Linked DNA regions of Arabidopsis thaliana. Each later gene encodes a partner of the first gene's protein in a complex. Each region holds a gene or a part of one and is shown on either strand. Other genes may lie near its edges.

Region 1 (7,058 bases):
ATTTCCATTTGCTTAGTGTTTGTTGGTGAGCTTATATTCTACATTTTCTCGAACAGTGTGATGGTTCACTTAGATTGATGGCTTTTGAGCGAGAAGAATTACGGACGCGTGCCAATGAACGTCTTCCTTGGCATGAAAAATTAGACGGAGAAGATTGCATTCAGAAACAAGTACACGAGTTAGTATTTCACCATTAGCTTGTCTTTACTGTTTATTGTCCTTTCAATTTATTACTTGAAATTACGGTTTTGTTTTAGTAGTAGCTCCTGTGTAAAATGGAAACTATATATTTTAGAAGCATCTTAAGCTGAGAGAAAAAGTAGTTGTGTTGATCTTGTATCGGTAACCTCTTTGACCAGGCTGATATCAGTTGGAAATTTGGAAGCTGCTGTTAGTTTGCTGCTTTCTTCAGCTCCAGATTCTCCATACTTCTATCCAAATGCTCTCCGAGCTGTTGCACTCGCTTCTGCTGTGTCTAAATCTCTTCTCGACCTTGCACTAAAGGTATCTGTCTTTGCTATATTGGATAATCTTTCGTGTCCTTGTAAAAAAATCATTCCATCACATTTGTTCCACACGTAGGTTGTTGCAGCCAACATGGTAAGGACCGACAATTCACTCACTGGTACTCATCTTTTATGTGCCGTTGGTAGGCACCAAGAAGCTTGTTCACAGGTTAGCTTTCTTTGTTTCCTTGGTCATACTACATATTGCATATTCTTCGGAACTATGCTTCCACTGAAATTGTCATTTCATTAGTTATTCGAGAATATTCTTAGCTTGGTTTAATAATAGGCAACGTTTTAGACACAGAATATTTTATACTTTTTAATATGCAGCTCCAAGATTCTGGACGATGGACCGATGCTGCTACCTTGGCCGCAACACATTTAGAAGGATCGGATTATGCCAGGTCTTTTCTTCTACGGTTTACTTCTAGATCTAATTATTATTTCCTATTATTGGTTACTAGTCGTTGTAACTACTCCTATCTCTCTATCTACTCAGGGTATTGCAAAGGTGGGCTGATCATGTTCTCCATGCGGAGCACAACGTCTGGCGGTACTTTATCATCATGCTCACATTCAATACAGTTTAACTTAGAAAATTTAAATGTGACATAAATTCCTCAAACAGTTCCGATGATGAGAAAAGAATTTCATTTTATTAATGCAGGGCCCTTATTTTATATGTGGCTGCTGGTTCCCTGCAAGAGGCGCTTGCAGCTCTCAGAGAGGTGCAACAGCCTGATACAGTAGCCATGTTTGTCCTCGCGTGTCAGGAGATTCATTCAGAAATCATAACCGAGCTATCAACCCAAGACGAGGAGTCTGAATCTGCTTCTGGTGATGGCACAGTACCGCTGCCCGATCTGCCTGGTCTTGAATCAGGGAAGGAAGAAGTGACAGCGGTTTGTGAATACTTTCAACAGTACCAGAGAAAGCTAGTGCATTTGTGCATGGACTCTCAACCCTACACCGACTGATGAGGAAACTATACTACCAAACTCTTTCGTTGGCTATGCAAAATTACGCACATGAAATCATCTTTGAAGAACAACAACAAAAACAAGTTTTTGCATTTAAATATTACTGTATTTGTGATATAGATAATGTTTCTGCATGTTGTACCCTAAACCCTTCTTCTGTGTAAACTTGATTTAAGAAGACAAGATAATTTTCTCTTGTTGTTTGGTTATTACTTAAACGGTTTGAAGTTTATCAAATTAGAGGAAGAAGAAAAACAATACATGCATTACAATATACGACAAATAATGTGAAGAATTTCAACTTACAACCAACTCATGTGATATTGTTTTGGTTAGCCTCAATGAAAGAATCGTCTACGACACCGAGCTGATCCAAGTTCTTCGTACTCAGCCTTGGTGACACACATGGACTCGAAATCCGGGCTGGAAGCCAAAAGTGAACCACCTCTCCATACACCTAGTATGGGGCTGCAAATACAAAAGGAGTTAAAATAACAAAGAAAGAGCTGCAAATATAAAGAGTAAAAAAAAAAAAAAAAAAAGGATTGAGGTTGTTTACTCCTCCTGAGTTGTTATCTTCACATCAAAGTGATCTGGGACAAGTGGTCGAAGCTCTCCTTCTCTGCAATAATGTCTCAGACCATCAACTTCTCTAATAATAAAGCAGTACTAATGAATGATTCATCACATAAATTTAGCCTTACAGTCTCTCCTTAAGTTGTGGAAATAATGTACTTCCACCAGTTAAGATAATGCTGCGGTAAAACATCAAACATTAGACATCAAAGCTCATTCAATAACAGCAGAAGATTAAAAATAAGTAATCCATTTGAAAACCACCTTTGATACAAAACTGGTTGCAAGTAAGAATGGCATGAGTTTATAGCTCGGACAATGCACTCTGCAAGTCCCGCCTGATTCATCCCTATCCCAAAACAAAATAAAATACCATCTCATCATCATCTTCTATCTACAACTACATTCTAACATTCATCAACACAAACCTAAATCTGCAGGCTGGAATAACGTCTCAGGTACAAGAAAACGCTCATTCGTTAAATCAATCTCCTGCAAAGACAAAAAAAAAACCTCAAACTTGAGAGAAATCCCTACCACCACCACAGAGACAAAAGAATCGAAAAAAAGTTTACATTTTTGTTCATGTCAGCCTTCTTTCTCTCCCCAACCTTATCCATCACCACCACAGACTCTTTCTCTGACAAACTAAGAAACCTCTTAGCAGCTTGAGGGTCTTTAACATAGCCTTTGGTATGTGTAACACCATCAGGAAGAACATAAGTAGACTTGATAAGAGTGTTCCCATTTCTAGCAAGGCGGAGATCACGAAGAAGATCAAGTGAAACAAAACAAAGCTTCTCTTTAGCATCATCAACTAAAAAAGTTTCATCCATAACATTAATAGATCTATAAGAAACCAATTCCTTCAAGTAATTAGTAAAAGCTTTTCCTCCTAAATCAATCCTCTTAATGGCGTGATTAAGAGTGAAATTGTGAAGAACAGGAACAGCGTGAGTGAAGGAGAAACCACAATCAACAACGAGACTACACTGAGTCTTTGAGAGGATTGAATCAGGCTGACGACTAGCTTCATAGAGATGAACAAGAGATTGAGGATGAGCTATATAGAGAGAAGAGAATCCGAAATCTTCGAAGACGAGTTCGTCGGTGGTTCGTTGAACGGAAGGGATTGAGAGTGGTGCTTCGGTGAGGAGGAGAGAGGAGGAGGAAGGAGCTATGTGGAGGAGGGAAGTGAATAGGTGTGACCAGATTTCGCGTTGTAGGTCGGAGTTTATGAGGTAGCCACGGTCGATTGGGCGGCGTACGGCGGCGGAGGTGAGGTCGATTTCGTCGGAGAGAGTGGTGAGTGGTGATGGGTGGATGAATTTTTTGGAAGAGAGAGGTTTGTAGAGACAGTTCGGGATTACGGTGGTGGGATCACGCTCGCCGCCTTGTCCGGCTTTGATTAGACCACCGCCGTTGTCTAGAACAACGATGTTTGACATTGATGACGATGACTCGCCGCCGCCGGCGAACGAACTCTGTAAGTGGTTTTTTGTTGTTTAAATGAATCGGTTTAGGATCTACTGGTTTAAGCTAGTGCGATTTTAAGAAAAGACTGTATTGGAATTACCAGTTTAGAGATTTCAAACTGAGGGAAGAGTGAATTTGAATTAGGGAAATTACTAAAACCGGTCCGGTTGTTCCGTTAAACGCTACAAAAGTTAGTAGGCCCGGGAGTTCGACTAAATCGGGTTGGTCGGATCGGGTTATTCGGTTTAAGGAAAATTCAGGGTTTTGAAAATTTCACTGAATAGACTCGAATTAAAATTCGGTTCGGATCAGTTCGGTAGTCGGTTAATTCGGATCGGTTATTAGCTAAAATTTATGTTCTGAACATGAACTGGATTTTGTATTTTTCTTGGTTTATAGATTTTTTCATTTTGGTTTACATATTACAATTACTCTATTACAAACACAAATCTAGTAAAATACTAAAATGGGAAATTTACATTTATAACCTACAAAAATATTATAATTAGGTAACTAACACTCTAAAAAAAAGTAACCAATATTGTTTGTATTTTCTGTAATAATGCCAATACTATCCCTGTTTGAAATACACGCTCTTCATCTTCTCCCTTCCATAGAAAACCAATTATTCTCTTTCACTAACTATTAACTTTTGAACATGGGTTTGGCTCTAATAAATTTCAGTCCACCGTTTATGAAGCTTTTGATTTTGCCAACGATTAACAGAGGTGTATTGGGCACAGAAGCAAGACAGTTAATTTTCGGAAATGACATTTCGGTTTTGCTCGAAATTGAATTAGAGGTTTTGATTTACACAGGCAAGACTTCAGATTTTGTTGGAGTCTTTGGTTTTTTTTAAGAGACTTTGGTTTTATTTTTTGAAATTGAATTAGTCGAGATTCTCGCTAATAAGCGCTGAATTTGATCAATCTCTGTTTTCTGTTTCCTTCATTTGATTTCTTTTTTTGGGTCTCTCTAATTTATTGGCGTCGTTGTACTTTTTGGGTATACTATTTACGTATACCTTGTACTATATATGTTTTAAAATGAATTGTTTGTTTTGATTAAGGATATTAAGTGATTTGATTAGTGTTTTATATTAAAAGTCTTGGGTTCCCTATATATTATCTTAGGGTTTAGTATCCTTCCATCAAAAAGTATTTAATTGATTATTTGGATTCATCGGAACAAACGTTTCTATTTGAACAAATATATAATATTCTATCTTTCTATGATGATCTGTATAGAATTTGATACCACTATTCATTTTTTAAGAAATTCGTTTCCGATTTTTAAAATTCAAATCATATTAGATAAACAAAAAAAAAATCTGTTTTTTCAATAGTATCTTTAACTTTAACCAAGTAATATTGTTAAACTAATAAAGTAAACAAAATCAAGAGGGGTGAATATATATTACTCATATATATTTCTCTTTCCTCCTGTGGCTTCTCTTTCTCTCCAAGCGCATCGTTGGGAAGGAGTTGGGTGTATTTTCACAACTGACATGTGCTATCAAATGAATTACACACATTATGGTGCTATATATTTAATAACTTTTTCAAAAACCGTCATTTTTGTAATTCACCCTACTAAAATAAACCATTACAAATAATATAAAAGCCCAATACAATTAAAAAACCCAACATACAATCAAAAGCCCAACCCAATAATTTTTTTAGGGTTTTGCAAAGGAATGAGCAAAGTGACTGCGGCTCTGGCTGTGATTGTGACAGCGACGGTAAAAACCACGGCGATCTCCGACCGTCCTATTCCAACTTGAAGGAGTCCTAATCAACAATGCCACTAAACTGGAAATTTGAATCCGGCGTGCCATCTTTTGATCTGCATGCCACTCTTGTAGTGGATAATACCTATTTACCCTTAATGAATTATATCAATTAATTTTAAAAGAAAAATCAAAAACAAAATCCAAATCGAAATCGAAATTATCCCGACCCAACCCAATTAATTCCGACCCAATTCATTTAATTCCGACGAGATAGGCGATTTCCGATTAACTTCCAACATCGGTGATTTTTGACATTGGCTCCGTCGAGTCTGGGGAAACTTTGCTAGGTCAGCTAATCCAATTCTCCGGCCGTCGATTTCTCCGGTGCTGCGTGCTACGTGAGTCGATACTATTGGATCGAATTCTTTATTGATCTTTGCTGCGGCTACTCTGGAAACGATCCTTCTTTAGTTCTTCCATCTCCTGTAAGTATTATAGTTAGTACAATGTAATTGAATTGAATCAATGTGTAAGCAGAATCAAACCATATTTGCATAATACAATGGATGGACGAACTGAAATTGAATCAGACACTGGTACATCTCGTGGTTCAACTGGTACTAATATAGTGTTTATATTTGTAGGAGGCGATGAAGAAGAGGATCCAGATGAACCTACACTTTGACTATGGAGGGTACTATACAGCAGACCATGAGTGAAGTTGCAAAAATTCAATATACGGTATAGTGTTTAAGACATCATCTTTGGAGAGAATAACATATGCGGATTTAATAGATAAGATCTGTAGAAAGATTGCTCTAGGTGGAGAGAAAAGGAATCTGAAATTGAGTTACAAGATATGTAAAGCATGGAGAGAGTCTTATATTGTAGATAATGAGGATGTGTTGATATATTTAACGTCATTGGATAAAGAGGGATTTAGACCTGTTTTGCATGTAGAGTTATGCAGTGATTTGGAAAGTAATAATAGGCAAGTTCCAATAGTAGAGCGAAGAAGTTCATGCGGTGTAAATTATGGGGAATTGGCTGCCAATGTTGTAATGGTTGCGGATGTAAATACAGGAATTCTGAGTACTAATGAACTTATTATTGAACTAGAGGAACAGCGTGAGACAGTTAGTGAACCTATTATTGAACTAGAGGAACAGCGTGAGACAGTTAGTGAACCTATGATGCTAGAGAATGGAGTTTCTGAAACTGTTATTGAACCGCTGATGATAGAGTGTGGGGTTAATGAAGATTCTGATAATGATTATGTTAGGGAAGAATATTGATAATAGGTTTTTAGTCAATTAATTCTAAAACACTATCCTGTCGTTGTAGTATTTTAGGTGTCAATCCAAATGAGTGTGATACAAACAAATGAGATGTGATCAGAAGTCACTAAGTCAAGCCAAGCAATAACAGTTTTGGGGTTTCTAACAGTCCTAAGCGAACATGCAGAAAACAGAAACAATAACAGAATTACTAAAATCACTCGACTACAACAGGCTGATGCCAGAAGTAGGATGTGGTCGAGTAACTGGTCGAGTAACAGACATGATATGAAACAGATATACTCGACTGCACAGTCTGTTGCCAGACACTGGGTGTGGTCGAGTATACTGGTCGAGTAACAGACAGGAAACAAGATAACTGTACTCGACTGCACAGTCTGTTGCCAGACACTGGGTGTGGTCGAGTAAGTTGGTTGAGTAATTGCAAAAACTAAGAAACAAGCAATGAGAATGATTAAGCGATAACGATAAAACAGAGAAATAATAT
Region 2 (7,191 bases), on another chromosome or scaffold:
GCAGGTGCTAAAAGCAGGTGTAAGTGTTGGGGTTGAAGAGGTCATGAAATGGGGAGAAGAGGAGAGTATTGGAGTGTTAGTGGATAAAGAAGGAGTGAAGAAGGCAGTGGACGAAATAATGGGCGAGAGTGATGAAGCAAAAGAGAGAAGAAAAAGAGTCAGAGAGCTTGGAGAATTAGCTCACAAGGCTGTGGAAGAAGGAGGCTCTTCTCATTCTAATATCATATTTTTGCTACAAGATATAATGCAACAAGTAGAATCCAAGAGTTGATTGTATATATTGTTGTTGTTTGTTAAATCATTGTGCGTGCATGTAATATCTTATCAGTTATTTGTTGGGTAATCGAATTCGTCTTGTTTTGCTATTAGAATTATGTAAATATTTTAAAAACTACAACTTATATACATTGAAATCGTAGAAAGAGCCAATGTCTAATAATTTCATTGTATAGACAGCTGCGCTGGTAGTCCGGCGGAGTTCAACTTTCCTAATTCTTCTAGCGGTTTTAGGCTTATTATCAATAATGTTTTTTTTAAAGAAATCTACAATTTCCCTAATAATTCCTTTTATGTATATCCGTTTATAGTTTTTCATATTTTAATAGCTATACAAAATTTGATTTATCTTGTCACCAATCTGAATTTCAAACAATCAAGATATTTGTCATAAGGAGATTTTTTTTTTTTTTTTTTGTGCACCTAAGGAGATTTTATTTTAAATGAAATTTTCATTAAGAGTTTTGATTTTTCGGAAGAAAAAAAAAAGAGGAAACAAAAAATACGTTTTTAAGAAAACAACCAAGTATTTCACATATCCTAATTTAATATCCTATCAAAATCAGTCGTCATAAAGCAAAAAAAAAAAAAAAAAAAAAAAAGACTAGAATAGCTAGAAATCTAGAGTACACACTTTGATTTAGTTTGAAGACAAATGTTGAGGCTTGTTTGTCCATACGACATAAAAAGAAGGAGAGACTGAGATATTCCGAATTTGATTTTTCTTTCTTTATTCGTTTATCCAATACTAATTTTTACGGCTATAAACTTTTCACTATCTTTTCGACGTACCTCTAGCTAAAAGATATTTTCTCTTAAAATTTTGGGCTTATATGAATACAAAAGAACATATGAGTGCCCGCCACGATATGTACTGTGAACCACTTAGTGTGTTTTGTAACTATTACGAATAATAAGCCAATTTCCTTTTGTTCTTTCTTACATCACATCTTAATATATGTAGGCACAGAGAAACACACACATTATCGGAACCAAAGCAAAAAAAATAAACCTTAGAAGAGAGTTCCTCATGGCATCGGAATTTCGTCCTCCTCTTCATTTTGTTCTCTTCCCTTTCATGGCTCAAGGCCACATGATCCCAATGGTAGATATTGCAAGGCTCCTGGCTCAGCGCGGGGTGACTATAACCATTGTCACTACACCTCAAAACGCAGGCCGGTTCAAGAACGTTCTTAGCCGGGCTATCCAATCCGGCTTGCCCATCAATCTCGTGCAAGTAAAGTTTCCATCTCAAGAATCGGGTTCACCGGAAGGACAGGAGAATTTGGACTTGCTCGATTCATTGGGGGCTTCATTAACCTTCTTCAAAGCATTTAGCCTGCTCGAGGAACCAGTCGAGAAGCTCTTGAAAGAGATTCAACCTAGGCCAAACTGCATAATCGCTGACATGTGTTTGCCTTATACAAACAGAATTGCCAAGAATCTTGGTATACCAAAAATCATCTTTCATGGCATGTGTTGCTTCAATCTTCTTTGTACGCACATAATGCACCAAAACCACGAGTTCTTGGAAACTATAGAGTCTGACAAGGAATACTTCCCCATTCCTAATTTCCCTGACAGAGTTGAGTTCACAAAATCTCAGCTTCCAATGGTATTAGTTGCTGGAGATTGGAAAGACTTCCTTGACGGAATGACAGAAGGGGATAACACTTCTTATGGTGTGATTGTTAACACGTTTGAAGAGCTCGAGCCAGCTTATGTTAGAGACTACAAGAAGGTTAAAGCGGGTAAGATATGGAGCATCGGACCGGTTTCCTTGTGCAACAAGTTAGGAGAAGACCAAGCTGAGAGGGGAAACAAGGCGGACATTGATCAAGACGAGTGTATTAAATGGCTTGATTCTAAAGAAGAAGGGTCGGTGCTATATGTTTGCCTTGGAAGTATATGCAATCTTCCTCTGTCTCAGCTCAAAGAGCTCGGCTTAGGCCTCGAGGAATCCCAAAGACCTTTCATTTGGGTCATAAGAGGTTGGGAGAAGTATAACGAGTTACTTGAATGGATCTCAGAGAGCGGTTATAAGGAAAGAATCAAAGAAAGAGGCCTTCTCATAACAGGATGGTCGCCTCAAATGCTTATCCTTACACATCCTGCCGTTGGAGGATTCTTGACACATTGTGGATGGAACTCTACTCTTGAAGGAATCACTTCAGGCGTTCCATTACTCACGTGGCCACTGTTTGGAGACCAATTCTGCAATGAGAAATTGGCGGTGCAGATACTAAAAGCCGGTGTGAGAGCTGGGGTTGAAGAGTCCATGAGATGGGGAGAAGAGGAGAAAATAGGAGTACTGGTGGATAAAGAAGGAGTAAAGAAGGCAGTGGAGGAATTGATGGGTGATAGTAATGATGCTAAGGAGAGAAGAAAAAGAGTGAAAGAGCTTGGAGAATTAGCTCACAAGGCTGTGGAAGAAGGAGGCTCTTCTCATTCCAACATCACATTCTTGCTACAAGACATAATGCAATTAGAACAACCCAAGAAATGATTGTAACTTTTCTTAGATTGTAACTTTTCTTTTGTATTACCCAAAAAAAATGATTGTGACGTTTGTTCTCGATTACTTCTCTTTGTTCAAGAACAATTTATGATAGTTTTATTTGAAATTGTCTCTATTATCGAATCTTATACTAACATCTTAGTTAGTACATACTTATTAAGCATTCGAATTCGTACACTCAAATTGAAGAAAAAAACACAATTTCTTATATACTTTTTTTTTTTCTGTAGCTTTAGAAGAGTGTAGAAACCTTCTCCAGTGGTCCTGCATGAGATCGCAACTTCGATATTGCTTGCTCCTTGGAGTTTAGAGGAGTGTAGAAACACTTTTTGTTTGTTTACTTTTGCTTTCTCGATCATGACAAGTTGACAACTCGTGTTATATCCAAAATGACATCATGCATGACTTGAAAATTGAAATCTATCTATGATATTACCATTTCTGGACAATTTTGTTAACCGATTTATATATCTTAACATCTTTCTTTTTTGGTATTATTTACGTTACGATTTTTCATCGTAAATTTAATTTAAAATTTTATATATGCCAGTGTAAAAAGAAATTACTCAAGGTCATTAATAAAAATAAAAATAAAACGTTTTTCCCCAGCGGTCTATCATTGTAAGTTTTATTTTACAAAAAGAATCTTCTAATATAATATGGGCTTTGAAAATGTCTAAGTGGAAGGCCCATTAATATCTCAAGTCCAATAACAATGGTGTACGAACCAGCGGCACCGTGTGTGAAAGAGTGAATCAAAGAGGTGCGGCGGTCGCCGGCGAAGACGTGTGCTCGTCGAAGAAACTTCTCCAACCTAAAATTTTCCGAAGGTAACTCCTCGAGCGAGATTTTAAGCTCATCACACAAATTACTTTTCATTCTCGCTTTCATGGGCTCTTCTTCGATTACTGTGTACATCACTCAAATTTTGGGTTTTTGTTCCTGTTTCCCTCTCGATATAATCGTAAAGTCTTGAAATTGCGAGAAACCCTAATTTGGGGGTTCCTTGCTGATTTGTTAATTTGTGTGTTATGACATTTTCGTTTAAATTTGTGAACTTGTAGAAGTAAGAGTTGAGCAAGTTATCAATGGAAATCGATGAAGAAGAGCCAATGGTGTTCTTGGACCGTACAACAAGAGCAACACGGGGTAAACGGTAAGAATTACTTGAGCTTAAGCTTTTACCTGATGAATGTGTTTCACCTGAAGATTGTGGTTTTGTCTCACTGTTATTGAGATGTATCAGAAACTCTCTTGTGGAAGCTTTATTCATCAGTTTTCTGTTTTTTTTCAGGATGACCAAGTTGCTTGATGACGAAGTAGAAGAAGATGAACAGTTTTGGAATCAAGAAGCTCTTAAAGAGGTTTGTTTTGTTTTATATATAGCTTACTCTCTTAAAGAGATGTTAATGATTTGTTAAGGTAGACTAGATGTCAAAATATATAATGGAAAAAAATCAGATTTGTAGACAAGATACTATCGCAGAAACTTTCGTGTGTTTGCTGACATTTATGTATCTCTTTACTTTTGTTATCTGCAGGAAGAACATGATGATGAATATGAAGCAGAACGTGAGGTTGCTGATGAGTTTGACAGTGACTTCAATGACGATGTATTTATGTCTTGCTTATGTATTGAGTACTTATTCATCAAGGTTTTTGCTTATATTTCCATTCTTTTTAATTTCTTTCTTTTGCCTTTTGTTTGGGATTAGGAGCCTGAGCCTGATGCAGTCGCTGTAAATGAAAAAGAATTGAGGTTTGAATTTTTTCAAAGCTTGTCTTATGATGGCTATTATGTGTGTCTGTTTTAATTTTGTTACAATTTTGCATATTGTTGTAGGGATCTGCCAAAGAAGCGGCTGATTTACCCTGGGAAAACTGCTTCAAAGAAAAAGAAAAAGAAGACGAAGGTAGTTTCACAACTAGAATATATTCCTGGAGATGAGAAGCCAGGTGAAGAATTGGGAAACAAGGAACAAGAAGAAAAAGAAGAGAATGAAGCACAAGAAGATATGGAAGGTGAGAAAGTCATTAGGAAATCAACACGGACTTCAGTGGTTGTACGGCAAGCAGAAAGAGATGCATTGCGTGCTGCTATACAAGCAACAACAAAGGTTTCTCAGAACTCATCCCCACTAGCTATTTACATTCATGGCTACACTTTAATCTCTTTTCTAAGTCTTGCCATGTTGAATTCTTTTTTGTGTTTGTTCAGCCAATACAAAGGAAAAAAGTAGGGGAGGAAAAACGGATGACCCAAGAAGAAATGCTGCTGGAAGCTGCTCAAACAGGTTTGGCTTTTATGATGCTGCATCTGATTTGCTCTATCAGAAACTCAAAATTGCTAAAGTCAGGTTCTTGCAGAAATCATGAACTTGAGGAATTTAGAACGTGTCTTGGCAAGGGAAGAAGAAGTAAAAAAGAAAGCGATTGTGCATAAAGCAGTCTACAAGGGTCCTCAGATTCGGTATCATTCAAAAGATGGTAAGCTCTCCAGTAAAATAGTAATCCAGTCTAATTGGATCTTTCCAGAAAAGTAAGAACTATATTTGTTTAAACTTTTAACTTTACATGCAGGATGTAACTATTTAGAATTCTGTAATGGTGCGTCATTCAATTCAGAGTTGTCGACGAAGTCTGTTCCCTGTAAGTAATTTTGAGTGGTGTTTGGAGATGAACATAAATGTGTTCATATTGATCTATACTGATCTCTGTCTTTCTTTTGGTTTGTTTTCTCTTTTCCAGATCCAGAAAAAGCTGTATGTGTGATTACGGGATTACCTGCCAAGTAAGAGTTTTTCTGTTCTTCTTCTTTATTCATCGGAAGAACAAGATCTCTGGGATGAACACAAGTAGACTCTCTTAGGTCTACTAAAAAGAAGTTATCAGTTTCTTTGATATATACTTCTCGAAAAGAAATGATGTTATAACCTAGAAACCTGATTATCTTTTCTCTGCAATTTTAGAACTAGTTCTTAGCTGTTGTGTGTATTGCTGATACAGGTACCGGGATCCAAAAACGGGTCTTCCTTATGCAACTAGAGACGCCTTCAAAGCAATACGTGAAAGGTGTTGCTTGATCCAATTATTGCTGCATCGATGTTTTCACTTGTCTATAGAAGTATTCATCTGTTGTTTCCTCTAACGGATCAAGCAAATGAATGTTATCGAGTGAAACAGGCCTTTGATATTTACATTGTCTTTATTAGTGTTAGAATCTGATATTTCCCAGTCTTATGTTTATTGTTCTGAAGGTTCATGGACGAACATGATGGTTTGAGAAAGAAAATGGAGATGGGAGATTTGTTTGATACACTAGTGGCGAAAGGTTTTGCAACAAAACAAAAGAGAACGAAGATTCCAAAGAGTAACAAATCATTTTCCCTCAGAAGCTCAGCTCGTTTCCTTAGCTCCGAGTCTGAAGAAGAGAGTGAAGAAGATTCAGATTAATAAACACCTCCCTGATTTGGTTAGTATATTAATATAAAGCCTTTAGTTTTCATGAAACATGATCATGAACTCACAGTTGTAATCATGCTCTGCAGAATCTGCATCTCACATGATTGTGATACATCATTCATGGATCTTCCCACGACCATGGTTTTGGTTCTCAGAGATTAGAAGCGAGAAGAACATTCATGGAGGAAATTTTCATGATCAGAGCTTTGAAATGGAAACAACAACACTCTAATCAGAGATTGATCCTCCTAACCAAAACCTCTGACACCCATCTCAGAATCAGAGAGAAAGTGTAATCTTCTGTATATTACTGACCTTGTAAAGATGATATGTTTTGGTTGATAAATATCAATTTCACATTAAACCGAACCGAATAAGCTTTTGATTTTACTTCGGTTCCGTTAAAACCGTTCCAAATCTATAAATATATCACCGATTTGAAAATTGAAACTTTTTGCGATTTCTAAGAGCTCCAATGGCATAATGATTTGGAGTTCAGATTCATGCTTCAAATCCAGGAAACACCAATGTCTTATCTTCCTCAAGCTATGTTCCTCAATTAAACACCTTCTACAGATCCATGGTCAAATCCATCTCTCCTCTCTCCAAAATGACAGCTTTATCATCAGCGAGCTTGTACGGGTTTCATCACTATCCCTCGCCAAAGACCTTGCCTTTGCGCGAACCCTTCTGCTTCACTCTTCAGATTCGACTCCTTCTACTTGGAATATGCTCAGTAGAGGCTATTCTTCAAGTGATTCTCCTGTGGAATCGATTTGGGTTTACTCTGAGATGAAGAGACGAGGAATCAAACCTAATAAGCTCACTTTTCCTTTTCTTCTCAAGGCTTGTGCTTCGTTTTTAGGTCTCACTGCTGGGAGACAGATTCAAGTTGAGGTTTTGAAACATGGGTTTGATTTTGATGTATATGTTGG

The links. Proteins that work in one complex are often made in the same cells at the same time.
Region 2: ARP6 (region 1) and SWC2 share a complex: the UniProt entries of both Arabidopsis thaliana proteins name them as parts of the SWR1 chromatin-remodeling complex.

The regions. Positions count from the first base shown.
Region 1 is NC_003074.8:14,091,964-14,099,021, forward strand, and holds ARP6 (actin-related protein 6), read right to left. Parts: upstream 3,626-7,058; 5' UTR 3,514-3,625; coding exon 2,641-3,513; intron 2,558-2,640; coding exon 2,494-2,557; intron 2,415-2,493; coding exon 2,330-2,414; intron 2,245-2,329; coding exon 2,194-2,244; intron 2,112-2,193; coding exon 2,049-2,111; intron 1,958-2,048; coding exon 1,828-1,957; 3' UTR 1,693-1,827; downstream 1-1,692. Other genes in the region: AT3G33530 (Transducin family protein / WD-40 repeat family protein), read left to right, coding at 57-178, 360-504, 583-675, 840-913, 1,009-1,062, 1,177-1,486. UniProt on the Arabidopsis thaliana protein: Component of the SWR1 complex which mediates the ATP-dependent exchange of histone H2A for the H2A variant H2A.F/Z leading to transcriptional regulation of selected genes (e.g. FLC) by chromatin remodeling. Binds to the promoter region of FLC chromatin.
Region 2 is NC_003071.7:15,406,122-15,413,312, reverse strand, and holds SWC2 (DNA binding protein SWC2), read left to right. Parts: upstream 1-3,400; 5' UTR 3,401-3,624; intron 3,625-3,858; 5' UTR 3,859-3,882; coding exon 3,883-3,950; intron 3,951-4,088; coding exon 4,089-4,158; intron 4,159-4,335; coding exon 4,336-4,407; intron 4,408-4,509; coding exon 4,510-4,553; intron 4,554-4,637; coding exon 4,638-4,911; intron 4,912-5,012; coding exon 5,013-5,088; intron 5,089-5,161; coding exon 5,162-5,281; intron 5,282-5,374; coding exon 5,375-5,443; intron 5,444-5,542; coding exon 5,543-5,585; intron 5,586-5,800; coding exon 5,801-5,866; coding exon of another isoform or gene 5,867-5,942; exon of another isoform or gene 5,943-6,051; coding exon 6,052-6,247; 3' UTR 6,248-6,266; intron 6,267-6,342; 3' UTR 6,343-6,691; downstream 6,692-7,191. Other genes in the region: UGT73C2 (UDP-glucosyl transferase 73C2), read left to right, coding at 1-271; UGT73C1 (UDP-glucosyl transferase 73C1), read left to right, coding at 1,307-2,782; AT2G36730 (Pentatricopeptide repeat (PPR) superfamily protein), read left to right, coding at 6,740-7,191. UniProt on the Arabidopsis thaliana protein: Component of the SWR1 complex which mediates the ATP-dependent exchange of histone H2A for the H2A variant H2A.F/Z leading to transcriptional regulation of selected genes (e.g. FLC) by chromatin remodeling.